Linked DNA regions of Canis lupus familiaris. The main gene of each other region encodes a partner of the protein of the gene in region 4 in a complex. Links are inferred from orthologs where the notes say so. Each region holds a gene or a part of one and is shown on either strand. Other genes may lie near its edges.

Evidence for each region.
Region 1: SART1 (region 4) and USP39 share a complex: the UniProt entries of both Homo sapiens proteins name them as parts of the U4/U6-U5 tri-snRNP complex. The link is inferred for Canis lupus familiaris from reciprocal best matches to the Homo sapiens genes SART1 and USP39.
Region 2: SART1 (region 4) and PPIH share a complex: the UniProt entries of both Homo sapiens proteins name them as parts of the U4/U6-U5 tri-snRNP complex. The link is inferred for Canis lupus familiaris from reciprocal best matches to the Homo sapiens genes SART1 and PPIH.
Region 3: SART1 (region 4) and SNRNP200 share a complex: the UniProt entries of both Homo sapiens proteins name them as parts of the U4/U6-U5 tri-snRNP complex. The link is inferred for Canis lupus familiaris from reciprocal best matches to the Homo sapiens genes SART1 and SNRNP200.
Region 5: SART1 (region 4) and TXNL4A share a complex: the UniProt entries of both Homo sapiens proteins name them as parts of the U4/U6-U5 tri-snRNP complex. The link is inferred for Canis lupus familiaris from reciprocal best matches to the Homo sapiens genes SART1 and TXNL4A.
Region 6: SART1 (region 4) and PRPF3 share a complex: the UniProt entries of both Homo sapiens proteins name them as parts of the U4/U6-U5 tri-snRNP complex. The link is inferred for Canis lupus familiaris from reciprocal best matches to the Homo sapiens genes SART1 and PRPF3.
Region 7: SART1 (region 4) and SNRNP40 share a complex: the UniProt entries of both Homo sapiens proteins name them as parts of the U4/U6-U5 tri-snRNP complex. The link is inferred for Canis lupus familiaris from reciprocal best matches to the Homo sapiens genes SART1 and SNRNP40.

What each region holds. Positions count from the first base shown.
Region 1 is NC_049238.1:39,801,346-39,805,148, forward strand, and holds part of USP39 (U4/U6.U5 tri-snRNP-associated protein 2), read right to left. Parts: intron 3,648-3,803; coding exon 3,422-3,647; intron 2,147-3,421; coding exon 2,069-2,146; intron 481-2,068; coding exon 413-480; intron 1-412.
Region 2 is NC_049236.1:753,992-758,444, reverse strand, and holds the start of PPIH (peptidyl-prolyl cis-trans isomerase H), read left to right. Parts: upstream 1-1,434; 5' UTR 1,435-1,523; coding exon 1,524-1,589; intron 1,590-1,818; coding exon 1,819-1,883; intron 1,884-2,134; coding exon 2,135-2,158; intron 2,159-2,435; coding exon 2,436-2,480; intron 2,481-3,375; coding exon 3,376-3,418; intron 3,419-4,453. UniProt on the Homo sapiens protein: PPIase that catalyzes the cis-trans isomerization of proline imidic peptide bonds in oligopeptides and may therefore assist protein folding. Participates in pre-mRNA splicing.
Region 3 is NC_049238.1:34,672,226-34,676,028, reverse strand, and holds part of SNRNP200 (U5 small nuclear ribonucleoprotein 200 kDa helicase), read right to left. Parts: coding exon 3,648-3,803; intron 3,562-3,647; coding exon 3,383-3,561; intron 3,203-3,382; coding exon 3,051-3,202; intron 2,208-3,050; coding exon 2,099-2,207; intron 727-2,098; coding exon 618-726; intron 193-617; coding exon 3-192; intron 1-2. UniProt on the Homo sapiens protein: Catalyzes the ATP-dependent unwinding of U4/U6 RNA duplices, an essential step in the assembly of a catalytically active spliceosome. Plays a role in pre-mRNA splicing as a core component of precatalytic, catalytic and postcatalytic spliceosomal complexes.
Region 4 is NC_049239.1:51,813,091-51,817,350, reverse strand, and holds the start of SART1 (U4/U6.U5 tri-snRNP-associated protein 1), read left to right. Parts: upstream 1-1,188; 5' UTR 1,189-1,253; coding exon 1,254-1,566; intron 1,567-1,763; exon of another isoform or gene 1,764-1,861; intron 1,862-3,344; coding exon 3,345-3,402; intron 3,403-3,785; coding exon 3,786-3,841; intron 3,842-4,260. UniProt on the Homo sapiens protein: Plays a role in mRNA splicing as a component of the U4/U6-U5 tri-snRNP, one of the building blocks of the spliceosome. May also bind to DNA.
Region 5 is NC_049222.1:688,369-692,757, reverse strand, and holds the start of TXNL4A (thioredoxin-like protein 4A), read right to left. Parts: upstream 3,043-4,389; 5' UTR 2,931-3,042; intron 2,573-2,930; exon of another isoform or gene 2,564-2,572; 5' UTR 2,530-2,563; coding exon 2,377-2,529; intron 476-2,376; exon of another isoform or gene 406-475; intron 1-405. UniProt on the Homo sapiens protein: Plays a role in pre-mRNA splicing as component of the U5 snRNP and U4/U6-U5 tri-snRNP complexes that are involved in spliceosome assembly, and as component of the precatalytic spliceosome (spliceosome B complex).
Region 6 is NC_049238.1:60,226,473-60,230,275, forward strand, and holds part of PRPF3 (U4/U6 small nuclear ribonucleoprotein Prp3), read left to right. Parts: intron 1-566; coding exon 567-710; intron 711-1,619; coding exon 1,620-1,719; intron 1,720-1,891; coding exon 1,892-2,005; intron 2,006-3,094; coding exon 3,095-3,213; intron 3,214-3,494; coding exon 3,495-3,578; intron 3,579-3,803. UniProt on the Homo sapiens protein: Plays a role in pre-mRNA splicing as component of the U4/U6-U5 tri-snRNP complex that is involved in spliceosome assembly, and as component of the precatalytic spliceosome (spliceosome B complex).
Region 7 is NC_049223.1:69,155,315-69,158,136, forward strand, and holds the end of SNRNP40 (U5 small nuclear ribonucleoprotein 40 kDa protein), read left to right. Parts: intron 1-930; coding exon 931-1,034; intron 1,035-1,768; coding exon 1,769-1,818; 3' UTR 1,819-2,285; downstream 2,286-2,822. UniProt on the Homo sapiens protein: Required for pre-mRNA splicing as component of the activated spliceosome. Component of the U5 small nuclear ribonucleoprotein (snRNP) complex and the U4/U6-U5 tri-snRNP complex, building blocks of the spliceosome.

The DNA.
Region 1 (3,803 bases), on a different chromosome or scaffold from region 4:
AAATGTTTTTGTTACGTTTACTTCCTTTTGTTTGTAAGTAAATGAAAAGGGTACCCAAGAGACTGCACATTTCATGGGCAGCACCACCTGGTTAGGGTAATGCAAAAACCGATGGATGTCCATCTCCAAAGACATTTAACTTAAATATCGGACTTTTTAAAATATTTCCAAATGGTTTAGAAAGCTCATCTGACCTTTCTGAAAAACCACGCCAGCACCACCCAGTGGCTAACTTCCAAACTTAATGAACACACCGGTGTGACAGGAATCTAAGGAACTGTCTGGGCAGGGTTGTACAGAACCTCATCCTGGGGCAACGGGCCTTGATAGCTCTCTAAGACTCTCTTTGTCAACCCTAAATCCTCTCAGGCAAAATAAATCAGGCCAAGAGTCAGGTTGAGGTTCAACTCACCAGATCAGGATGAGGAAGCTTTTTAGTGAAGATCCTCATAGACCCCTGGAAAACATCAGTCACAATAGCTGTACAAATGGAAATCAAAATGCAAATTCTGTCAGGTTGGAAAGCATTTCAAAAATATAGTCCTAACTTCTAAATTTCTGAAATAAACCAGCATCTTCTAGCATAAGACCTAAAGCTCTCACTAAACACAGAAGTACCTATGTAACATATACCACCATGGTACCTTACATTATTTGTGCAAGTAATTATTTTATGTCTGTCTTCTCCACAAGATGCCCCTTGACCCTCCAGCACAGGGTCTGGCCCATAAGAGAAAAATTAAGTGTGTTTGAAATGAATGAATGATTTATAAGGCCTAGAGACTTATCACAAAAAAATTCATAAGCAAAGTAAGACAGATCCAAAGAATTTCCCATAACCATACGCTGTATGCAAAGGAAGACAGGAATCCACCTTGCACTAGACATAAAAGAAATGCAGAGGGGATCCCTGGGTGGCTTAGCAGTTTAGCAACTGCCTTCGGCCCAGGGCATGGTCCTGGAGTCCCGGGATTGAGTCCCCCATCAGGCTCCCTGTGTGGAGCCTGCTTCTCCCTCTGCCTGTGTCTCTGCCTCTCTCTCTCTCAATGTCTCTCTCCTGAATAAATAAATAAAATCTTTAAAAAATAAATAAATAAAAGAAATGCAGACTAAGGGACAGGACAGAGAAGAGAACCAAAGCAATGAGAAAGAACAACAGGGTTCTAGAATCCTGATAGGACACAAGTTACAGAATTCATCAGAGGATGTGCACAGGCTGAAGACATCCAGCAGAGGTGGCACGGCAACCTAGTAGAAAGAACGCCAGCCCACAATTCCACATCAATATAAACATCAACACCAGCAGAACCGAAAAAAGGACAAGAAAAAAACTGCATTAGGTCTCCAAAATTATTCATCTAGCTCAGCAGTCTCTAAGCTAACGGTTAATTTTGGCATTCATGGAAACCGTCTAGTTGTAATGCCAACATGGATATTAAGGATAGAGGACTTGAAGACTGGGAATCTTTTTGGAAGACAGCCTCATTTCTCCAAGTACAGGCTCAGGGGGAGGAACTAGCTTTTACTCTGCTTCACCAATTTAGAAGCCACGCAAACAGCTCAGTGAGCCCTCCTCACATTAACTCTTGCACTACCAGACTACCAGTTGACAAAATGCTGCCAGCCCCTCAGCACAGAACTGGATCAGGATTTCTAGAGCGCAATTGTAACCATTTCCATGTATTAACTAAGCATGCCATCAGATAATAACCATATCCTAATTTTTTTAAATGGAGAGGAGCCTGTTCAGGAATAAAGCTTAGTTCACGTGTACATAGACACTACCCTGACACAAAAAAATAAACAGTTAAGAAAAGGATGGGAAGTTGCAAAGTGCCGTAAAAACAAGCAAACAGGGATCCCTGGGTGGCTCAGCGTTGAGCGTCTGCCTTTGACTCAGGGCATGATCCTGGGATCAAGTCCCGCATCAGGTTCCCTGCATGAAGACTACTTCTCCCTCTGCCTATGTCTCTGCCTCTCTGTGTTTCTCGTGAATAAATGAATAAAATCTAAAAAAAAAAAAAAAAAAGTAAACAGAAAAGAGCTCTTACAAAAGAAAATGACTTACTCTTCTTTTTCTTCTTTGTACCCCCCAGAGCTGAGTGCAGAGCATTCAGAAACCAGGACAGGAAGTCAACTCCATCCCCTGGAAAAGAAGGAAGGGTGGGACACGTCAAAGCTGGAAATTAGTATAACACAAACCATGCACTGGCTGGCATGATGTCACATTCCTGGTTTTCCTTTCCTTCTAGGCCTCACCATTCCTTCCCCTGGCTGCCTCTTTATTTGGTCAGTAAATGCTGGCACTCCTCAAGGTCAAGCCCTTAGTCTTCCAGTCTTCACTCTCTCCTTGGGCTCTCTGACCCAACTAGTACCTTTGATTATCATCTCTACTTCAAACTTGTATCTCACCAGCCACCAAAAGCCAGTATTAAATTTCCCCTCTAAATCACTCCTCAGCCTGAATCATGTTTTTAAAACTTAAGTCTGATGTCACATCTTGGCCTAAAGGCCTTCACTAACTCCCCACTGTTGTCAGGGTATAACCCAAGCTCCTCTTTGCAGCACCTAAACCGGATGATCTAGTCCCTCCCTCCCACCTCAGCTCTCACACTGTCCCCTGGACTCTAGGCACCTGGCTACTGGCAGCCTTCCATCTGTTCCGGGCATGTCCACGTTGTTGGAAGCATCCTCGCTACCTGGAATGCCCAGCCCTGACCTATCTCCACTGTGCCTAGAACTCAGCTAGCTCTTCCTCCACTCTGACCCTGGCCAACTTCCCAGGTGCCCAGCTGGGGTTCCTTGCTTTATGCCCCCTCCCAAAGCATACTTCACTTCATCTATCATAGCACTTATACCCTTGAGTCAGCTTTTTACACAACTACCTTCCCAACTAGAATAGGAGCTCCTGGAAGAAAAAAACTGTGCAGCTTATCCCTGTTGCTCTAAAACCTACTAGCAGCACGAAAGGATGGTGAATAAACAGACACGAGGCGAGAGGATGTTGTATGAGATCCAGGTGCTAAGAGCTACAGAGTGTCCTCTCTACTCACATGGCAATAACTAGTTGTACTTAGGAGGGATGAAGAGTCAAAATAGGTCATCGGAGTATCTAGTCTGCAGAATGACAAAATGAGAAGCAAACACGGCAAGTGCTTAAGAGCTGGTGCCTTTCTCAAAGCCTCCTCATCTTCCCCTCAGCCATACAGTTTAGTTTACCAAATAAGACAGACTTTCTATCCAGATGAAGTCACAGGATTCTGAGCAGGGCAGACTGATGAAAGGAATGAGGAACGCAATCATGCTATCAACTAGAAGCACACCCAGTTACAACAAGGTTCACTTCAAGTGCAAGTAAATTTGCTCATCAAACTGGTTTTGTTGCCCTACCATTAGAAAAGATGAAGGACTCATTTCTTACCTTGCTTGGTGATCTGAAAAGTCTTCTTGCTGCAAAGGACAACAGCCTGAAGCATCTCATGGGGAGAGACATGTGCCTTGAAATTTCGAGGGTTCCAGAGCTTTCTCATCAGCTCTCCAAAACGCTGGACCAACAAGAACATGATATCCCCCGGAGGACGCTTGATGTTCTTATAATTATCTTCTTCCAAGAAGTAGTTCCGTAGAGGAGGAACATTAGACAAAGCCTAGAAGTAGAACACTCCAATTAATCCAGAACCCCCATGCAGGGCCCCGCACACAACCTCAGAAACAAGCTCTTCTACTAGAATTGGGCCTGTGATGGCCCTCAAGAGGCAGAAGGAAATGCTCAGGTTTAAAGTTCATGTTATAGAAACAACTCT
Region 2 (4,453 bases), on a different chromosome or scaffold from region 4:
TGCGAATATAACTCTTCTTTTCTCTCGAGTTACTCCAGAAAAGATTGGCAGTTATGGGCCAGAAGACACAAATGTTACACAGTTTTGGTATATCACTTGTAGTGTTGCTTTAAAAAAAAAAGAAAAAGAAAAACTTGTGTCAACATAATGTTTCTATAGTCAGACTTTTTTTCTTGTCTTTTCTTTTTATTAAGTAGGCTCCACACCCAGCATGGAGCCCAATGTGGGGCTTGAACACACCACCCTAAGATCAAGACCTGAGTTGAGATGCAGTCAGATGTTTAATCGACTGAGCCACTGGTGCCCCTATGGTCAACCTCTCTAAGCCTCAATTTCTTGATCCATAAATGGGAACAGTAGTCATTCCTGTCCCATAGAGTTGTGAGGACCAAAGTAAATGAAATGTGTATTTAGAACTTAGTAGCTGCTTAACAAATGCTAGGCATCATCACTGATTTTCACTAGCACTGGTTTTTCCACAACCTCATCAACATTGGATATTACCAATTAAAAAAAAATTATTTTAGAATAGTTGGTATAAACTATACTGAAGGGTGACTCCTGCTGTTCTTTCTTCCCATCCTGCTCCTCTCCCTCCTACTCTCCTCGGACTCTTTCTTCTCCCTCTTCAGTTGGAGATAGAGAAGGATACCAAGGGGAAAGGAAAAGTAACTAAAAATAAAAAAGACACCATTAAGTTGAGACATTGAGTTTTTACATGTAACCCCTGCTTCCGCAGACAACTGGCCAAAAAGGATGATCAAAGGATATAGGACACAATAGCTATGATATCAGATACAGGCTGTGACTCTAAGCCTTGCCCAAGGTCACCTTTTTTCACTCAATTCATTGAATCTATTTATTGGATCCTCACTATGGGCTACTCAATAGTAGGCACTAGAGCTAAGGATGGGAGGCCAGGAATGATCTATAAACAGGTTCATTTTAAAAGCTCTAGCTGGGGGCAGGTGGCTCAGCGGTTGAGCACCTGCCTTCGGTCCAGGGTGTGACCCTGGAGACCCGGGGTCGAGTCCCACGTGGGGCTCCCTGCATGGAGCCTGCTTCTCCCTCTGCCTGTGTCTCTGCCTCTCTCTTTCTCGTGATTAAATAAGAAAATCTTTAAAAGGGGGAAAAAAACAAAAAGCTCCAGCAGGAATGAACTGTAGGTGACAAGAGGGGCAGCTCGCGAGCAGAACCAGAACTCCGGTTCCGGCTTAACCCGAGCGCTCAGGGTCCAGCACCTAAGACCCACCGCCTCCCGCGCCGCCGCGGCGCACACTGAGCGGAGGGGGAAAGACGCGCCGTGTACGTCGGCTCGGAGGCCTTGGCCCCGCCCACTTCCGCGACGCCCAGTTTCGGCGCCGGAGGCCGGGAGCGCTCCGCAGCGGGGCGGGACTTCCGGGGGGCGGGGCCTGGCCTCGGGTGGCTCTGCCTGCGCCTGCGCCGGCGAGTAGAAGCCCCGGAAATCGGGGCTCGGGTTCGCCGGAACCGGTGCCTGCGGCTACTGCTTCCGGGTCGGAGCCATGGCGGTGGCAAATTCAAGCCCCGTCAATCCCGTGGTGTTCTTTGATGTCAGCATCGGCGGCCAGGTGAGGTTCCAGGCCCGGCCGGGAGGGTCTCCCGCACCCGGGGATAGCGGACTCGGGAAGCCAGAAGGCGAAGCTGGACCGGGACCTACCGACCTGCGGGGCGGGGGGCTCGGGAGGGAGAGGAGTCGTCTCGCGCATCCCAGCGCCCCGCCGGGGGGCGGGGGGGACCGGGCCGCCCCCCCGGATCCCTGCTCGCTGAGGCCTTCTGACCGTGTCCCGCCGCCTGCAGGAGGTCGGCCGCATGAAGATCGAGCTCTTTGCAGACGTTGTGCCGAAGACGGCCGAGAATTTTAGGTAAGGGGATGCTCATCGGAACCGGGAGCCGGACCGGGCCTGCGTGGCGGCCCGCTCCCCGCCCTTGAGATCGGAGCTCCGAATTGTCCCCGTTTTTACCCTTCCCATCTCAGTTCATCGTAATTCTGGGTGTCGAGGCCGGCGGGCCCGCGGGGGGCTCAGGCCGCGCTCCCCTCCCCGCCCCTCTGCGCCAGGAGCGCCCCCCGCTGTGGGGTCACCGAGACTGAAGCATCCCCTCTTTTCCCTTTCAGGCAGTTCTGCACTGGAGAATTCAGGTCAGTCTCTCAGACGTGGTTGACTCGTCTGCTCGCTCCTGAAGGGTGCCCCGGGGCCGCAGTGGGGTTTTGGGGAACCACGCCCGTAGGCCTTGAATGATTGCTGGTGCCGGTAGTAGAAGGTTAATACCCCAAGGGTCTGTCTTCAGTTCATTTGCCTCCTTTATCTCTCTCCTCCCCACCACCTTTAGAGAGTCTCTTGGCTCGAGTGTGTGGGAAGCTGGGAAGACCTGTCATTACTTGTCGTCATTCCAAGTCTCTTTCTTTTTGGTTATAGAAAAGATGGGGTTCCGATAGGATACAAAGGGAGCACCTTCCACAGGTAAGGCTTGGCAAACCATCCTGCAGGATTTTAGAATTACTTTCTAAAAAAGTAATTTCTTACTTTTTTTTTTTTTTAAGATTTTATTTATTTATTCATGAGAGACACAGGCAGAGGGAGAAGCAGGCTCCATGCAGAGAGCCGGACGCGGGACTTGATCCGGGGTCTCCAGGATCACACCCTGGGCCGAAGGCAGGCACGAAACCACTGAGCCACCCGGGCTGCCCTGTAATTTCTTACTTTCTTTAGAAAGTAAGATTCATTTCTTTAAAGGGAACTAAAACCATAGGATAATTCCTAGATCTTGAGAAGGAATGTTTTTTGTGAACTCAACAATAGATTTGAAGGCTTATTAAAAACCAAGGGATCCCTGGGTGGCTCAGCGGTTTAGCACCAGAACTTTGCCAACTGAATTCAGCAGAAATGCCAAGGTATTAACAGTAGGTGCAAGGTTACAATTAACAGTGTTCTCAGCATCCTCTCCCCCCATCCCCAGACCCCCAGGGATGGATTCTGATTAGCTAAAGCCAGTAAGAGCAGAACATTTTTTTTTTTTTTTTTAGAGCAGAACATTCTTTAAAAAGGAGGCAGCCCGCGTGGCTCAGCGGTTTAGCGCCGCCTTCAGCCCAGGGCGTGACCCTGGAGACCCCGGATCGAGTCCCACCTCAGGCTCCCTGCATGGAGCCTGCTTCTCCCTCTGCCTGTGTCTCTGCCCCCCCACCTCTCTCCCTCTGTCTCATGAATAAATAAATAAAGTCTTTAAAAAAAAAACAAAACACCAAAGTTTAAAAAACGTTTTATTTTTAAATCAGTGTTAATCTAAAGTATAATGAGTACGTCAATGTTTTTCTAAATGACAGAACCTTCTCTCAGGATGCTTTATTCTCTGTTTCAGGGTCATAAAAGATTTCATGATCCAGGGTGGGGATTTTGTTAATGTAAGTATTATTTCTTTGCTAATAAAGACCTGTAGGAATATTGGTTTTTATTACTGCTGTTGCTGCTATTTTTTTTGCTACGGAGTCCAGTCCTGAGGCTTGAAACAATAACCAAGTTTGATGAGGAAGAGGGGTGACAGGAATGTCCTTTAGAGTTGCTGGCTTCCACTCTTTATACCATTAGGTGACAGACATCAGCACCCTGATTGAGTCACTGACTTCCAAATCAGCCTTTTAGGGCCAGAAGCTAACTTTCCCAGCATGCCTATAGATGATCCATGAGAGATGCAAACTAGTCAGTCACATGAAACTTGGGTAGAAATCAGATGCAATTGTTTTGTTTTCTAAATGGCAGTAAGTTCTCTTTCAGTGAGCTAAATGCTTATGTCCTATTTGCACATGCCTGGAAAGCTGAGTTTTTCATCAGAAACCGATTTAGTGGGCAAAGAATCAGAGCAACAGAGGTAGATCATTCTGGAAGGATGTTTCCTCTATTTACTAGCGGGGCCCAGTAGAATGGCTCTTCGCTGCGATTAATGGACTTTCTTGTGACTAGACTGTATGTGTCTCTCATACCAAGCCTCTTCGCCCTCCTCTGACTCTGGAAGGTGCTGAATAAACCATATCTCTTCTTAAATCTACTTTTGTTCTTAACCAACCACTTGTGTGCATGTCTGTGGTCTTATTAATATCATTTGGTTAGTCATGTTGCTATTTTCTTGAGTCTTGGGAGATGTCTTTCTCCTTCTTATGTATATTTATTTAGTTAAACTTTGAGGAATTTTTAAAGACTTCCTTCCTGTCTAGGAAAGGTTACAAAGTGGCAGATTTTAGGCTGAACCAGACTTTTAGATACACGTTGTTTCATGTGTGTGATGTTGTAAAACTGGGACATTTCACCAGAAAATTCCAGAGTTTTGTTTTCTCTTTAAAGAATGGAAAACAGGTGTGCACTTGGCCTGTGTTTCTCATGTAGCAGCAATGGTTTAGAATCAAATAACTGTTCCTTTAATCAGGGTCTGTCCTTGCCATTTC
Region 3 (3,803 bases), on a different chromosome or scaffold from region 4:
ACCCTGCAGGTTGTAGTAATTGGGGTTCTGTGTCATGCGGCGGTACAGAAAGGTCCAGGTCAGGTAGTCCACGGCATCCTGCTTGTTCTCTATGGTCTTGGTAACAATCTCAGCATTGAAGTGGTCATGCATACAGTGGTCGAGGTGGGACTCTACTGGCAAAGGTTCATATAAAAACTTCTTGAAGAAATCCTGTAGATTGGAAAAGGAGAGATGGCAATAAAGAGTCAATGACAACACGGTCACAAAAAAGGGCTAAGGGCAAATCAACAGGGAATGGCTCTGTGTTACAGACCCAGCTAATACAACAATGGAAGAACTCACTGTACTGACTAGGTGTGTATGCCTGGTCCCACTGGCCTCATTGACCATTCTACAATGGGAATATGGATAGAGCAAGTCAAACAGGCCTAACAATATATGAAGAACCAGCCAGAAAGTAAAGACCTCAACATGTGGAGTCAGCAGCAGCAGCAAAAATAAAGGGTACAAAATTCCATGTGCTGAGAGGGTTATCATAAAAGCAATGTGGAAAATAAAAGAAACAGAAGCTAACAGAAAGAATGTAAACAAGGAAAGACACCTAAGAAAGAATCTGCTCTGAGACCAGGAATGACCTTTTTAGAGCCCTGGCACATGATGACACAGCGCCCCTCGTCATCCTGCAGTGGGCGGTTGGCATGGCCCACCATCTGAAGCACATCGTAGATGGGGTAATCCACGTACCTGGGGACAGAGGAGAAGAAAGGTGGCAAAGAGGCATCCACATGGAGACTACACTCAGGCAGCTCAGACTCCCTCAATGCCAAAGAATAAAACGCAAATGTGGGAGACAGTGGACAATTACAGCTATCCCCCGAGCACTTCCCGTGCTCAGTTACTAGTTTCACTTGTTTCTCTCTATATCATTGTGATTTTCAAGTGTAAGAGTTGAGACTGTAAGAGTTGAGACTGCAAATCAGGGTCCTTGAACCAAAGCTACAAACCCAGCGAATGCCAAAAGCAAGTAACTCCCTAAGAAAGGATCAAATATGTAGGTCAAGCTTTCCAAACAGCTGTGTCTCAGAAGTTAGACACTCACCTGACTTAAATCCAAACCTAGAATGAATTTCAGATGTTAAAAATAAGCCCATAGCGAATATTCCAGGAAAACAAAAATCTACATTTTGAGAAAAAATTAAGAATTAAATCATTCAAGTTTTTTTTTTTTTTTTTTTTAATGATAGTCACAGAGAGAGAGAGAGAGGCAGAGATACAGGCAGAGGAAGAAGAAGGCTCCATGCACCGGAAGCCCGATGTGGGACTCGATCCCGGGTCTCCAGGATCGCGCCCTGGGCCAAAGGCAGGCGCCAAACCGCTGCGCCACCCAGGGATCCCAAATCATTCAAGTTTTTAAGGAAAACCGAACCTTCTACTTCATTGTTACCACACAGGTGTGTGACTTGGATCATGTCACTTTCCCTATCTATAAGATAAACAACTACCTAATCTCCACCTCAAACTTCCTGGTTCTCCAACTTGCTGCAATGTGACAGGATGACCACAGAAGCAAAAGTGAGCCTAAAGGGTATCCCTGGTGGCTCAGAGGTTTAGTGCCTGCCTTCGGCCCAGGGTGTGATCCTGGAGTCCTGGGATTGAGTCCTACATCGGACTCCCCACATGGAGCCTGCTTCTCCCTTTGCCTGTGTCTCTGCCCCTCTCTCTCTGTGTGTCTCTCATGAATAAATAAATAAAATCTTTAAAAAAAGAAAAAGTGAACCTAGGGCCTAAGACTAAACACTCTCTCAGACATGTATGTGGCTGTGGGGGAATCTCAGCTGGCTCTTCATCTCCCTAACATCTTTCCTTCATAATTTCTGTATCTGCAGATGTTATGTTCATTTTATTTTATTTTTTTAAGATTTTATTTATTAATGAAAGACACAAGCAGAGGGAGAAGCAGGCTCCATGCAGGGAGCCCGATGTGTGACTCAATCCCAGGTCTCCAGGACCAGGCCCTGGGCTGAAGGTGGCGCTAAACCGCTGAGCCACCCGGGCTGCCCTGTTATGTTCATTTTAGGAGAAGGTTCCCATTAATGCAGAGCACAGTGAGACTCACGCATGGATCTTGCCATTGTAGTACTGGGTGTCCATGATGATCACCAGGTGGGCGGCCACATTCATGCCCCAGCAGAGACTTCGAGAAGCTACCACCACCTGGATAGCCCCTGAGAGGCAGAGGGGAGAAGATGACTGAGTGCAGGCCAGCTCCCTGGGAGGATCTGTCTCCCTCGCAGGTAGGGCCTTATCCTGTGCTTCTTTTGAGAACTCAGAGCAAAGTTTGCTGGGAATGAGCCCTAATCATGACAAGGGCTAACGCAATACTGTAAGAGGTGGCTCCATGCTGCTGCTGCCCTGCTTGGGAGACTATCTTGTAGGAAATGAGATAATCCTAGAATAGAATCCCAAGCTCAGGGAAAGCTAGGCTTAGCTATCTGCTTGACAGACTGGCCTTGCTGACTGGAACGTGGTAACACCAACTCAGTCATACGCTGGCTCAGTACGTACAGCAAGACTGAGCTGTGAGCATGCCTCAAACCACAGATTCAAGCATCAAAGAGTGCCAGCATCTCCACTGCAGTGCCACCAAATAGTGCTAATACTCTGCGTGAAATGCCATAGGTCAACAAGGGACAGTGGTACACAGACCACCCAAATGAGACTCAGCTCGAGCGTTTATTACACCTCTAAGATCTAACAAACTTGGTGAGAGTGGTATCTGTGGAAAGCCAGGTCTACCAGTCAGAGGTCCTGGTCTAGAAAACCAGATTCTGAAGTAATACCACCTTTACAATGCCTGTTTTCTCATCTAGCAAGTAGGCATGATATTCTACCCATATTCCAAGGTTATTGGGAGGATCAAATGAGGTAATAGATAAACTCATCAGAAAAGAATTTTGAGGATGATGAGTCTGCTGGAGGAAAGTATCACCCACGTCCTAAAATTTCATATCTATCGCCTGTGATACCCTTACATCTGACCTCCTTCTGGCCACAAGAATTTTCTTCACCTGAGCTGAAGAGCTGTTCCACCAGGCGTCGCTCCATGGGGCTGAGGCCCTCGTGCAGGTAGCCCACCCCATTTAACAGCGTTTCCTTGAGAGTGCTGTCACTTAGTTTCTCCAGGTACGGGATTAGATCCTTCTCGGTGCAGTGCAAGAACCTAGGCAGCACAGACACTGAATCGGCTCAGAGCGCTTCCCAACCCTGGCAAGACCCTTCCAACCATTGCAGCTGGCCAGCCCCTAGCCCGATGGGGCTAATCCCCACCTTCACGAACAGGAGGCTCTTCATGGTGAGCCAACCTCAGTGACCCAACCCTCCCTGCCCCTCCCTGCCCCACCTCTGCCGCTGGATGTCAGCTGCACATGTGGTGAGGATGTCAATCGCAGTGAGGCGGGTCTGCTTTCGGGACGGAACAAAAACAATGACAGGCTTCTTGGGAGAATGTTTGGTGATAGCATGGTACACGGGCTTGGCCATGGAGAGCAGGCGAGTCTGTGTGTGGCTAATGTTGAAGCCCTGGAGACCGAGGAAAACAAAGGGACGGGCATCAGACCTGGTCCTCTGCCACAAGGCCACATAGGAGCGGGGAGGACAGGTCCTACCTGGATATGCAGCTCCAAGGGCACGGGACGCACATTCGGGTGGAAGTTGAAGGTAGAGGTGGCACTGCACCCCAGCCAGTGGGCCACATCCTTAGCATTCGAGAGCGAGGAGCTAAGGGCCACGATGCGAATGGGTCGCTCAATCTGGGAGGAGAT
Region 4 (4,260 bases):
TGCTTCTGCTCCTGAGTGGATCATCTCACAGAGCAACAGCTGTGACTCCTCCACTCCCATTTCCAACATTTATGCTGGGTCCTAGGAATTCAAGAGGGAACAGGACCTAATGGCCTCTGCCTTTGAGAACTCAGGGTGGGAGGGGAGGAGGTTTGGATCCTTAAAGGGGTACGTATCTTACACTGTAACCAGTGGTTTGCACAGGGGCCGCCAGTCCCAGCAACTGGGGGTTGCGGGTCAGAGGAGGAATTATGTGAATTGCGATTTTACTTTTTAAAAGACTTTGTTTATTCATGAGACACACAGAGATGTAGCCAAAGGGAGAAGCAGGCTCCCTCTGGGGAGCCCGACAGGAACTGGGTCCGGGATTACGACCTGAGCCAGAGGCAGACGCTCAACTACTGAGCCACCCATGCGCCTTGGGATTTTAACTTCTAAGTAACTTCAAATTTGGGCCCCCAAGGAGGGGGGTGGGAATGAGCTCACATACCCAGTCGTGCTGTGTGGAATTTTGCAGTTTCTGGGGGTTCAAAGTACAGATTTAAAAACCCAATCCAAGGTGAGGGGGGTGCCTGGGTGGCGTCTCCCACTCTTGGTTTCGGCTCAGGTACGATCTCAGGGTTCAGCTGGCCCTTGTCTCCCTCTCCTTGCCGCTCCCGCTTACGCGCTCTCTCAAATAAGTAGATCTTAAAAAAAAAGAAACAAAAGACAAGGAAAAAAGAACCCAATACGAGTAAGGTGGAAAGGCAGCATTTGATAATATCGGGTGTAGGGGCTCAGAGGCTGGGCTGGGTCTCAAAACAAGCTGCGGCGTCCCACACCCGATGGAGCCACGACGAGGGGGCGGGGGCGGGTGGAGCCCACCGGGAGGACGCCGACTGGAGCGGCGGGCGCGGTGCACGGTAAAACCGGTAAACCCGTGAGGCAGGGAGCGTCTGGTGGCGGGGGGGGGGGCGCCTCCAGCTCCCAGATTGCCGGCTTTAAGGGCTTATAGTTCGGAGGCCTGTAACCCCTACACCCGGCGCACGCACGCACTTCGAAGACCGCCACCAGACCAACAGCTCCGCAAACACGCAGCCGGGCTCCAACCCCGGCCTTCCCGTGAGCCCTCGGGGCAGGCACCGAGGCGAACGGCGGAAGCAGCCACTCTTGGTTTCCGGCAACACGACAGCGGCTGCCGGGCGACCCGGAAGTAGTCCCATTTTGCGTCGTCGGGGCTCGGCGGCGGCCGGGCTCGGGGCGGACGTACCACCATGGGGTCGTCAAAGAAGCACCGTGGGGAGAAAGAGGCGGCCGGGACGACGGCGGCGGCCAGCACCGGAGGCGCCACCGAGCAGCCGCCGCGGCACCGGGAGCACAAAAAACACAAGCACCGGAGCGGCGGTGGCGGGAGCAGCGGTGGCGAACGTCGGAAGCGGAGTCGGGAGCGTGGGGGCGAGCGCGGGGGCGGGCGGCGCGGGACCGAAGCCGAGACACGCAGCGGCGCGCACGGGCGGGAGCGCGGCCAGGCTGAGCCCTCAGAGCGGCGCGTGAAGCGGGAGAAGCGCGATGACGGCTACGAGGCCGGTGAGGGCGGGGCCTGTGGGGGCGGGGCGGGGCGTCCCGGGGCGGGCGGTCTGGCCTGGGTGCGAGCCGAGCGCTGCCGCCCCGGCTCCCCGACGCTGTCTCCGTCAGCAATTATTAGAGAGTCTCCCCGTTTGGGATTAAAAGTTGTCTCTCTCTACTAACCTCTGCGAGGGCAGAGGTTTTCTGTTGTCTCAAAATTGGCCCCTCACAGGCCCTTATTTGTTGAGTGAATGAATCAATGAAGTTGTTCTAGCTCGTGCAGAACCAAGAAGAAACCTGATATTGGGCAAACCGGGTAGGGTTCATAGCAGAGATAGGAAACCGGTCGGAGCACAAAGGGCCCTACAGAAATTTGAATTTTGTCTTGAGGGTGGTAGAGAGCCATGGATTTAAGCTGAGGAATGAGTTGATCATATTTTGCAAAGATTCCTAGATTGAGACCTGGTTCAAAAATAGTCAAGACTGGAGGCCACGTGAGGATTGATAGTGGCGTGTGCTGAGGCAGCGGAGGGTGGAGAGACCTGAACAGATTGAAGAACCGTTTGGGAGGAGGAATTAGAGCTTACTTAGCACTTGGGTGAGGGTAAGAAGGAAATGAGGATGGCTCCTTAAATTTTGGTTTGAGCAACTGGGTGGGTGGTTGTGTCTCCTGAAATTGAGGACTTTGGGAGAGAAGCAGACTTTTGAGGGGAGAGAGTTCAGTTGTGGAGAGCATTGCAACCGATAGGGTTTGGGCTGGATAGAGCAATTTGGAAGTCATAAGTAAATCAGGTGGCAAATGAAGCCTGGCGAGAGAGTAAGGAGTGGGCAGTAGAACCTTAAAAATGCCAGCATTTTCGTAGTAGGTAGAGTAAGAGGCTATAAGAATGCTTGATGGTACAATATCCAGAAAAGAAAACTATAGAATCTTGTGTCATGGGGTCTGTTGCAAAGAATAGTCAATGGTGTCACACACACCACAGAAAATAAAGGAAATTCGAGCTGAAAAGAATCCGTTGGATTTAGAAATAAGGAGGCTGGTGACCTTGGAGAGAGCCTAGAAAGGTTGAGATCCAGGGTCCAGGTGAGGTATAGGGGAAGAGGTAGGTTATGGAGTGGGGACGCAGGAAGGATGAACAGGTGGTAGCACCTGGGTGGGGAAGCTCCATCTGGTGGCGTCTAGCCTCTGTCTGTGTGTTGTGTTCCGAAGTTACTTGCTGAGTGAGAGATGAGTAGAGGAAGTCTGAAAAGCTACTTTATCTCAGCATCCTCACTATCCATCGCAAAACAGGGACCATTAAGTGTATTTCTTGACTGGATGAACTGCGCAGAGAACACAGTCATGCTGCTAACACAGTCCCTGACCAGTGGGGAGAAACAGACCTGGAAGTGAGTGATGAGCTGTGGAGTTCAGGAGAGAGCAGTTCATTCTGACCAATAATTAAATAGGAGTTCAGAAGGAGGTGGCATTTGGTCTCAGCATTTGGATAGGATCTCGTCTATCAGAGTTAGGCCAAGGAGGGCAGTGTGGGCTGAAAACAGAATGTACAGAAGTGGAGAGGAGGCAGAGTGAAGGCTGCAAAAAGGTTGGACCTTTTGGGGCAGGAAAGGAAGGTTATGTTGGGGTCTCAAGAGATTGGGACTGAGATGGAAGGAGCTACTGAGATGGAGGAAGGTTGCTGTTTTCGAGTGTCTCAGTAGGGCCCGGGTATGGGTAAGGGAGGTCCCTGCAGAGCTCGAGCCAAAGATGTGGTTTGTTGGCCCTTTGTTCAGCTCCTGAACTATACTTCTTGTTCCAGCTGCCAGCTCCAAAAGTAGCTCAGGAGATGCCTCATCTCTTAGCATCGAGGAGACCAAGTAAGTTCTGTCTTCCTGATGTTTCTACTTTTATTTTCTGAGACAGAGGGCTTCTGGGAACAGTTTCCTGGGGGACCATTCACACACTAAGGCATTCTGACTGGAATTGGAAATGACGTATAACCATTTGAGTTACAGAAAAGACGCTAAGACCCAAGAGAAAGATGGTCTTCTGCTGGTTAGGGGCAGGCCAGGCCTAGTGCCTGTGTTCCCTGATTTGGAGGCCAGCATCCTTCCCAATGTCCTTGGCTGCCTGGGTCAGTCTCTGCTTTGGGGACCCTTAGGACTTCTCAGTTCCATCCTGTTTTCACTCTCTATCCAGAAATGTCTCTGATGTCCCTATTTTGTTGGCAGCTCCTAACATGTGTATCTCTTGTCCTCAGTAAACTCCGGGCAAAGTTGGGGCTGAAACCCTTGGAAGTCAATGCTGTCAAGAAGGGTGAGTGTGGGACTGAGGATGGGGGTGAGGGAGGGCATTTGGGTGGAGGAGAAAGATCATCTGAAGGGGTCTTTGAGGAGGATGGGGTTATGGCACAGGTTCAGCACCATTTAGTGGCCATGTGTGTGTATGTGTGTGTGTACACACATCCTTGTGGATAGGCACAGGCTTCTCCTTAGTGTCACAATGGAGGGCTGGGAATAGGCTTATTCTTTAAGTTCATATGGCTAGCATCGTTGCTTGCTCTGGCTGTGAGGCAGCATTAGCTAGACCAAGATACATGCGTAGTTGCTGCAAACTGATCTGGGCTATGCAGGTGTTGGGTTCATTTGTTTCTTAATGCATGATGGGAGGCGAGGATGCTTGCAAGGTGTGGAGGATCCCGTCATGCTGTGCGGGAAGGAAGTAGGAGGAGGGAG
Region 5 (4,389 bases), on a different chromosome or scaffold from region 4:
AGGTTTTGCAGATCTTAAACTATTTGCATGGGTTTTTTTTTTTAACATGCAAAAATTAAAAGTCCCATTTATTCTTCCCCATCGTGGGGTTTAAGTTAACAGCGAGCTGTGACAAACTGTTCCTGCAAAATGGTAAGACAGCTCAGAGGTACACAGCCTCTCCCTGAGGCTGTGCATAAAATCAGATTTTAAATAGGAAACTTTGTTATTACCACTCTACCAAGCTCCAGACATCTGTAAAATCATTAAGCTTACCTCCCATGTTTTCAGGGCAGCTCAAAACTAATACAGCATGAGGTGGTGGCCTCATGATGGTTGGCACCATCAAAGCATCAAGTCAACACACCACATTCCCGGAGAAACAATCTAATCAAGTCCAGCCTAAACGGTGGAACTTTTACTCACTTTAAAACAGCTGGGGTATCCAAACAGGGCTCGAGACAGGATGAGGAAGATCCCCCACTATCTGCCATTTCTGCAGAGGGAGATTTTTAGATAGTTAAGTTGTTCTTTATACTAAAACTTTAAATTTCAAAAATTCCTGTTGAGCTCAAGAAGGACTTCCAGAATTATAAACTCATGTTTTGCCTTTACACAGAAGAAAATAAAACAATTATCTTGTGATGAGTTTCAAGTTTGCATTTCTAATAACTGTACTATATAATATTAAAAGTTTATTAAAACAGAAATCCAAATTTTTGGACCAAAGAAAAAGTACCTTAAAGATAAAACAAAGACAAATACTCAAAGTGAGCCCAACTAAACTGTTCTTATCAGTAGGTTCGATCCCAGAGTGCGTTCCTCAGTGATCCCGCAGTCCAGCCTACAGCTGACACACAGGGATGGGAAAAGAACAAACAACTTGCTGAAAGTCCCTAAGAGCTCAGGTTAACACAAAATCTGTCTCCCAAAGAAGAGCGTCTTGCTGGGTTTTGCCTGGGTATGAAGAGCCAAAGGAGCCTCCCGTCTCTAACCATCCTGACCCTGCACCGAGGGCAGCAGGAGCTGGTCACCACCTGGTGTTTATGCCCCCACATGCCCCGCACAATTCAGAACACACACCCTACGTTATTTCAAGGTCAACAGAGCAGCAATGGTGTTTCTCAGGAAAGTGCTTGGAGGTGGTTCTTCACTGACCACAGCAGTGTCTGCTTTTGACGCGACAAACTGGCGCCGCAGCTCTCCCGAGCTCCCCAGGCACCTCCTCAGGCTCCCCAAGAAGAGAAAGGGAACGGCCAGTCTCCCAGCACCCTTACTCTGATCCCGAACTCTGCCAAGTGGTTTTTGGAAGCCACTTCAGAATTCCCAGGGCAGCTTTTGGGCAGAGCTGTGTGTGGACCTCACCCCAGACCTGCAGAACGAGAACCTCGGAGGTGCACCTGAGCAAGTCTTCCAAGCGATCCTCACGTGACTGACCGGAAAGACGGCCTCCACAGTTCCACGGTTCCCAGTGCTACCACCCGGCCTCGCTTGGCTTCTCCCGCCACACAGGAGATCAGAAAAAGTAGCAGTGGAAGGTCAGATAGTTGTTAGTGAACTAACCTCAATGTGGGGTCCTGCTCTGACCCCCGAGACTTCGCCTTTCCCAGACACATCTGTCCCTACACCTGTTACCATGTACTGAGCTATCTTAAGCCCTTCTTCCTCTGAAAGAAATCATGGCTTTAATGTTTCCATTACTCTTGACCTCTCCTTATTTACGGAATATCAGTAAGTAATCTATGAATTGGCTACAACTACACATCCAAATGAAAGTTCTCCTGAAATGAGCCCACAGAGCCCACAGGAGAGCACCAGGTGCTGCTGGTTCTGGAACTGCCAACAGAGCCTCCGACAAGCCAGGGTGCCAGCATGGTGACCCAGACTGGGTCCAACCAGGCAAGTCTCCCAGAGCACGTCTGAGCTAGGAGTGCACTTAGGGCACAAAGACCGGGATGGAGAACAGGCTTTCCTTCCCCTGACAGGCACGACTGCCTCCCACACACAGGGAGCAAAGCACCAAAAACTGGCAATCCTGTGCAGCTACCTGGCTAAAATGGCGTTCCACGAAGTCCCTAGGTGTGCTGCTCCCAGCTCCGTGGAGGTGGCACCATGAACCCCTTCAAAACCTGGAGACCAGGGACACACTGCTCCCACGGAAGGACCGTAGCCTCGGGGCACAGGGTCAGGCCCCCTGAGCCCGCCGCACCCTACCCTCTGAGGCCTGGAGCCTCCACGCGGGGGTCAGGCCCTTGGACCCTGCTGCGCCTCTGCAGCCTGGAGGAAGAGGAGGACCTGCACGCGGTCACCTCACTCCAACCCTGCAGCCACCTAGCAAACGGGGCAAACCAAAGACCACAGCTTCCTAGGCTGACGCTGGGCGGGGGGCTGTGTTACCTTCTCCGCGATGCTGTACAGCACCTCGTCCATCTTCATACACGTGGGGTCCCAGTCGTGTCCAAAGCGGATGACGACCACGCGGTCCTCCTCCGACAGGATGGCCTGATCCACCTGCCAGCCGTTGTGCAGGTGTGGGAGCATGTACGACATCTCGGGGCGGCTCCGGGTACACCTGCGGGCACACCTGCGGGAACTGTGCGCACCGGCTCCTTGCGGCCGACTGCGGGCAAGGGCTGCACGTCGCACCCGCCCGCGCCCCTGGGTCCCACAGCAGACCTCACCCCCCCGACCCCTGGAAGAGGGACGGCACTGAGGGGACGCCCTGCAGACCCAGTCCCCGGTGCGGAGGCCCCGGGGTCGCCCCCATCCGTGCCCCTCGGTCCCGCCGCGGGGAGGGCCTGGGACCCCCGCAGACCTTGCCCCCGGCCCCCGGCCCCGGCCCCGGCCCCTGTCAAGCTCTACCCCTGGAAGGAGAACGGGGCCGCGAGGACGCCCCGCAGACGCCAGCCCCTGCCTCCCTCGCCCCCGCTCCCCGCTCCGTCCGCCCGCACCTCAGCCGACCGCAGCCTCCCGCGCGGCAGCCCTTCCCGGCGGGGACGCGAGCCGGTCGGTGCGTGCGCGTGGCCGCCGACGCGAGCGTGAGCGTGCGCGTGGCCGCCGACGCGAGCGTGAGCGTGAGCGTGCGCGTGGCCGCCCGACGTAAGCGTGAGCGTGCGCGTGCGCGTGCGCGTGGCCGCCCGACGTAAGCGTGAGCGTGCGCGTGCGCGTGCGCGTGCGCGTGGCCGCCGACGAGGGGCCGCGCGCGCCCGGCGCCGGGAGGGAGGGACACCGAGCCGGGGCTCCCGTGTGCGCCCGGGCGGTGCGGCCGGTGGCCCCCGGACCCCGCGGGGTCGGTCTCCTGAGGTGTCGCCGCGGTCACGGGGGGCCCGGCTTTGCCGCCTGATTCTCAGCCCCAGTCAGGCCCCTCGGAGCGACCCAGCTTCTCCGCGGCGCCCCCGTGCCCTGGGGGTGTGACGAGGGCAGCCGGCCGAGCGGAGCTGCGAGGTGCGGTTCGGGTCCCGGCGGGGAGCAGCGCTGGGAGCCGGGGGACGGGGCCGGCACACGGGACAGGCCGAGGACCGTGACGTGACGGGCTGGGGAAGGCCCGTCCTGCTCACCGCACAGCCGTCCCCGGGGCGGTCAGGGCAGACTAGGCCCCGCTGTGCGGTCGCCGCGTCAGCAGAAGACCAGCTAAGGTGTGGGTCACCGTGTGAAACACGCACGGCCCTTGTCGCCCGTCGCCCCGTCCGCCTCCGGGCGCGTCCTTTTTGTCAAGAAGCTGACGGAGGATCCCCCACGTCCTGTGGGGTCCTCGCGCTGCAGCCCCGGGGGGTCGTAGAAGCGCCACTGCGGTCTCCGTTGGGGCAGCTCCCGTCCTGCTGGGGGGAGGCCCGAGCGCGGTCGGCTGGTCGTCCCCACTCCCCGCGGTCCCTGAGCCCCGGCGACCGCGGACTCCCGCCCGCCTCCCTGCCCCCGCCTGCCCCGGGCAGTTCGTGCGAGCGGAGACCGACCGGGACATCGCCCGGGACTGCCTTCTCCAGGCCGCGCTGTCCGCGGGCGTCAGGATTCGGTCCTCGGTGCTGGTTACCACTTCATCATACGCATGTGTGCATTTTTTTATTTTTATTTTTTATACATTTATTTTTTGTTGGTGTTCAATTTGTCGACATCTAGAATAACACCCCGTGCCCGTCCCGTCAGGTGCCCCCTCAGGGCCCGTCACCCAGTGTGTGCATTTCATTTATCCATCGTCTGACATTTGGCTGTTTCCACTTTCTGGCCGTCGTGCATATGCTGCTGTGAACATCTGGATTTGTGTTTGTGTGGACTTAGGTTTTCGCTTCCCTAAGAGTATATGAGTGGAAAGCCGGGGTCACGCGATAACCGTGTTTAACATTTTATGGAATACGAACTGTTTTCAAGAATGGCTGCAGCTTTATTGTATTTATTCAAGAGAGCACGTGCATGCCC
Region 6 (3,803 bases), on a different chromosome or scaffold from region 4:
TGAGCTGAAGGCAGAAGCTTAACCACTGAGCCACTGAGCCACATCCCTAAATAAACAAATCTTTAAAAAATATTACTAAAAGATTGAGAACACACCTGGCTGCCTCAAATCAAAAGAGCATGAGACTCTTGATCTCAGGGTTGCGAGTTCAAGCCCCATTTTGAGTGTAGAGATTACTTAAATAAACTTTTAAAAAATAATAATAACAAATAAAATTTAAGAAAATTAAATAAACTGCTTTGGGAGTCCAGAGGATTTTCCTGTAACTCCAAAATTATAAATTTCATCTTGGCCCCACCTAACCCAAATACTCATGCAGAGCAACTAGAGCAGCTCTAATTTTGTTTTCTGTATTTGCTACTTTTCAGTTGATTAAAGCGTTCACCTGCTTCAAGAAAAAACAAGTTAGAACACTTATGAAAGATAAGGATGCTTTTAAAAAATGTAACATACTACCATTATCCAACTTAAAAATAGCAAATTTCTTTTAATGTGAGTGATTGATTGTCACCTACCTTCCTCTAATGGGCTTCTTGCTTTTATACTTTCATTTCTCTACCTGGCAGTTGACAATGACACACCAGTTACTCTGGGGGTGTATCTTACCAAGAAGGAACAGAAGAAACTTCGAAGGCAAACAAGGAGGGAAGCACAGAAGGAACTACAAGAGAAAGTCAGGCTGGGCCTGATGCCTCCTCCAGAACCCAAAGGTACGTATCTTGGAGGCAAAGAAGAAAGGGTGGTACATTTGTTTATCCCTGTATTTCTAGAGGAACTTTTATATCTCTCTGTATTTGGGTGCTTTTTGTTTTCTCTGAATCATTCATTGATTTTTTTCTTCCTATTCTAAATTTTCTACAATCTTGTTAAGACAGGTCAACATATTCGGTGTAGAGGTCATTTAAGGTTTATTTGTAAAGTGTAAAAATATATAACACTGATCTTCCTGGAAGAGTAATGGTCTTGAAATTCATGAAGATAGTAGTTACAGTGTTTGCATAGAGTGTTTTGTACATAACTCTTAATATTTGAAAAATGAAAATACTGTTGAAAGAAACCTTCACTCCTGTAGTTTCCATTATCACTCAGTAATATTTGAGTGAGCACTGTTATGTGTAGGATCTTTTATTAAATGCTGTGATCAGGGGCAGCCCAGGTGGCTCAGTGGTTTAGCGCTGCCTTCAGCCCAGGGCCTGCCTGATCCTCTAATGGGCTGGAGACCTGGGATCAAGTCCCACATCTGGCTCCCTGCATGGAGCCTGCTTCTCCCTCTGCCTGTGTCTCTGCCTCTCTCTCTGTGAGTCTCTCATAAATAAATAAAAATCTTTATTAAAAAAAAAAATGCTGTGATCAGAGTGAAAAATACCAACGAAATTAAAGTTCCTTATCTATCATAAATTTTCAAGCAGTGTAAATAAATGTATACCAACTGTATAGATTGTGTGACCTTCCACAAATACTGAGTTAATTGGATGGGCTTTTCAAGGTGTAGGGGTTTTTGGAGGAAATAAACTTGGAGCAGAGATTTGAAATAGGTAAATAGTTGAATTGATTGAGAAAAGGTGACAAGTTATCCCAGCTGGAGAATTCATTGTTTTCTATCCTCTCTCCACTTGCAGTGAGAATTTCAAATTTAATGCGAGTATTAGGAACAGAAGCTGTTCAAGACCCCACGAAGGTAGAAGCCCATGTCAGAGCTCAGATGGCAAAAAGACAGAAGTAAGTGCCATGGGATTGGGTGGAAACCCGGGCAAGTACCTTTCCCAGACTCTTCTGAGGGGATCCATATTTGGAGGGAGGGGAGAGTCCTCTGTTGCTCTCTCTTTCCCTCAGCTTTGCCTCTGATCTTCAATGCCTTTCTCACTTGTGGATGTCCTTCCTGTCACGACAGAGCGCATGAAGAGGCCAACGCTGCCCGAAAACTTACAGCAGAACAGAGAAAGGTCAAGAAAATTAAAAAGCTTAAAGAAGACATTTCACAGGGGGTACACATATCTGTATATAGGTAGGTGTCCAAACTGGGCCAGCCTTTGCCTTAGAAATACCAAAAACTTTTCCAAGTGCTTGAGGCAGAATCACTGTGGTCTAACATCAGTCCCTACTCTCTTCTGTGACCTCAACATGAATCAGGAGCTAGTAAATCTTTTATAATGAGGGAGGGTTAAAGACTTACTGTTCTATCTCTGAGAGCTTCTCAGTGAACCAGTACTAGTTCTGAAGAATGAATGAATGAATGAATGAATGAATGAATGAATGAATGAATATACCTGGTGAGACCAACATATGAACTAAGGATCATTCTCTATGTGAAATAAAATATAATCTATTTCTTCAGGAAGCATCAAAAGTTTCTTTCTTCAGTAACTATATTCTTATTCTCATGTAATGTAGTAATCCTTTTATTCCCACTACAAAATACATTTTGCACATTGTAAATATTTTCTACCTTCTTGTTGATTTAATGTCTTCATTTTATTTTTATGTTGAGTACGTGTGTACCTTCCATTTTTTAAAAGTGCTCTTGTTTAATAACTAGTTCTTTATTATGAAAGTGATACATTATTACAAAGTAATGAATATTTAAGAATTTTTTTAATATAACAGTATAGAAGGCCTTTACTGAAAAAAGTCCCCTTCTTGCTCTCTGATCCCTTACTGCTTACTGTAGATAATTGCTACTAACAATTTTTTGTAATTCTAGAAAATTCTAGAAATTTTCCATGCATAGCATTCTGGTAACTTGACATTATAAGCATCTAGAAGGCAAAGAATTTGTTGATCATTACACTGTCAAGAACAATTAGCTTGCAAGTACTTTTGGATAGTGGTAATACCTCTTCTTTCTTAGAGTAAATTTTGATTACCTGCTATTTGTTGTGTGTGTGTACAATACTGGTCTTTGAAGTATAAGACAGTGGAGTTACTTCAAGACTTACTGATTCTGCCTTTCTTTCAAGCGTTAGTGTACGTGCTTACTCCAGAGGCTGTTGTTTGTAGAGAGAAAACCATTGTGGAACATCTGTTTATTTGCCATTCCATTCAGGCAGCTACTGATGCTAAAACAAAAGCCATAATTAAACTTTCCCTTCTCCAGAGTTCGAAATTTGAGCAATCCAGCCAAGAAGTTCAAGATTGAGGCCAATGCTGGGCAACTGTACCTGACAGGGGTGGTTGTACTGCACAAGGATGTCAACGTGGTAGTAGTGGAAGGGGGTGAGTCCGAAAAAACTGAGGGAGACTGTCCCCACACAACCCTAGGCCTTGAAGTGAATAGAATGGTGGGGAAAAGGAGGAGAAGATAAGTGTTTTAGAGCCACGCCTAGGTATAACGTCCTGGGTTTCTGTTTCTGTGTTTATTGGAGTAGAAGAACCTAAAATGTGGTTTCCAAGATTGCAACTACCACCTTAGGGTCTGAGTAACAAATGAGCTCAGAGGTTCTTTCTACTTCATCATCTTCCACCATTCTGGCAAAATTCTCCTTCTCTGTTTCCAGGCCCCAAGGCCCAGAAGAAATTTAAGCGTCTTATGCTGCATCGGATAAAGTGGGATGAACAGACATCTAACACAAAGGGAGATGGTGAATGGGGGTTAGAGGGGATTAAGTGGGAGGTGGGGATGGTACTCTGTCCATTCATCTATTCCCTCCCACTGAAACTTGATCACACTACATATTGTGGAGGAATTTTAGAAAGACCTGTTTGGACTATGAACATAGTAGACATTCATAGAGTTTTTATTATGTGATGATATGTGTGAGGGTTAGTTATTCTGCCCGACCTTTAAGGCCTTTCTATTAGCTGGT
Region 7 (2,822 bases), on a different chromosome or scaffold from region 4:
TTAGTTTTCTTATCTGTAAAATGAATTTAGACTAGCTGGTCTGGTCATGGGATTCCCATGAATTCAGTGCCAGATTGAGTCAAGTATATATATTTGGGTTGTGTTATCGCACAGAATTTTCTGTCCCTTCTCTGGGCTCTGTGATTTGAATGCAAAACTGAGCAGCTCAAGTGAATCTGCAACCCTAGGCTCCCAACCTCCTATAAGATATCCTAGATGAATATCAGGCATTCTTTGAAGATTTCTGTGTGGGGACCATAGGAAAAACTATCTTTCTTCTCCATGTTCTTTCCTATTCCAAAAACTTATGTTTAAAATACCAGTAATAAAAAAAATAATAATAAAATAAAATAAAAATAAATTAATTAAATTAAATAAATAAAATAAATTAAATTAAATAAATGAATAAATTGAAATAAAATAAATAAATAAAATAAATTAAAATAAATAAAATAAAATAATAAAATAAAATAAACAAAATAAAATAAAATAAAATAAAATAAAATAAAATAAAATAAAAACCAGTAATGCGGGCAGCCCGGGTGGCTCAGCGGTTTGGCACCACCTTTGGCCCAGGGTGTGAGCCTTGGAGACCCGGGATCGAGTCCCACGTTGGGCTCCCTGCATGGAGCCTGCTTCTCCCTCTGCCTATGTTTCTGTGTCTCTCATGAATAAATAAATAAAATCTTAAAAATAAATAAAATACCAGTAATGCTTATAGTTTATTCCTGTATCTCTATTCAGTTACTCAAGGGCAGGATCCATCCCTTATTCAGAATCTATATTTCTAGTTTCTAAACATCAGAACACAGTTCAGTAAATATGGAGTAAATAAATAAATCTCTGCTTCCATTTCTCTTAAAAAGCCATGCCTCTACCCTACTCTCAGCTCTAGGAAGCTTTAGCATTGCTCCTCATGATACCTTGCAGGTTTGTGTATGTGTGGGATACCACAAGCCGGAGGATTTTGTATAAGCTGCCTGGACATGCTGGCTCCATCAATGAAGTGGCTTTCCACCCTGATGAACCAATCAGTAAGTCTGTCCTGACTTTGGGGAAAGGGAAACTGTGGGAATCTCCCTAAAGGGCCCCTGAAAATAGAAAGGCAGAGGTGGATATCTGTCATATGTGAATTTCCAGGTAGTCTTTATGGCTGTCCCTTGATTGTCTCACCATAGTTTTAAATGGTGACAGGAAGAGCATGTTCCATTTTCTTAATCTCAAAGGGAGACTGGTTAATCTGTTTCTAGTTCTCTTAAGTTTACTTGTTTCAAGTCTGTGTTTCAGTGATGTATTTGGATTTTTAAAAGATGATATTTTCTAATATTCAGCTATAAATTGCAACTTGATATTTATTGGCTAGCTAATTAAACAGTGGGCCTTGAATTTAAGAAGAAAGTATGACTTTCTCCAGGGCTAACTATAACAAGCAAAAACACATTTACAAAATGACTGGCACAGACATCGATTCTTCCCTAGAATGGCTGAGAAGGTCTTCTTTATGGGGTTTGGCTGATGTGGGACATCAGGGTTTGGACCCTGATAATGCATTTTCCATAACACAGTCCACCCTTGTGGTTTCAAGAGGACTTGGATTGAAAAGCCAGGCTACAGTTTCCTGTGAGTGGTGTTGAAGAGGAGGGGAATTTAAGCTAAATCCAATTGCTCTTTTATACCAAAATTGGCTCTTGACACAAGAGCCCTTGAGCACCAAGTCTCCTTGAGCCTTCATTAGTTCCAGTTATCTTCTTCATTCTCTTCACCTCAGTTCTCTCAGCATCCAGTGACAAGAGACTGTATATGGGGGAGATTCAGTGAAGATACGGAATGGAAGACACCCGCCCCAACGGCTGCTTGACCCCTGAGACCTCAGGCGTCATAAGTGGCATCCAGCAGTGCCCAGGCTAGCAGCCTCCCTTCAGATGAAGACCATTCCTAGGAAAAAGCAAAGAGGAGGTGGCCATGTTCCAGCAACCACTGGTACCCCTTCCACCAGGATGATTAAGACAAGCTGACAGTGGCCTCTAAAACCACCGGCCAGATTTCAGGAACTGTTTGGGATTTTTTCCTCTTTTTTTTTTAAGTAAGATTTCTTCAAAGAGACAGACACAGGTTGGTTTGTAGTTTCTTGTTTCCTAATACAAGCCAAAGACAGGGAATGTCACTGAAATTTGTTCATTGGGGATTTTTTTTTTAATTCAATAACTGGCTTGTATGATATTTTTCTTTCTGTGTTTCTCTGAGTCATTTTGTATTAAAAACCAAATAGATGCCTTTTTACAAGAGCCATGTGGATTGGATTTATTGTGTCTTTTCTTTGAAGCTTGATCGCTATAAATCTGACCTGGATATGATGTGGCTGGGGGGATACATTCCATTTAAATTTCCAAGATACTATTTTACAGGGATGTTTAGGGTTTTTTTTTCCCCCCTTCTCATCTTTTTAGATTTACTCCCAGAGTAAATAATTCCCAGAGAATAATTATCCATAATAAATGATTTCTCTCCTGCTAGAGACATACCAGTCAAGTGGTGATCAAGTCTAAAAGAACCCAGTTTTTGTATACTTTGACATGATCTTTAATAAATAAGGTCTGTTTCTATTCTGCCTCCTGCCAAAAGCACCTTTCTGAGCAGCAGTCCCTATTAGTCAAGGTCCTTAAAATGGGCATTAGACTGGGGGCTGCCTCAGCCAGTAGGAGTGGCTAGCTGGAATGCTGCATCAAAGTCAGCTTGAGGGGGGCAGGCCCGGTGGCTCAGCGGTTTAGCGCCTGCCTTCAGCCCAGGGTGTAATCCTGGAGACCCGGGATCGAGTCCTGCAG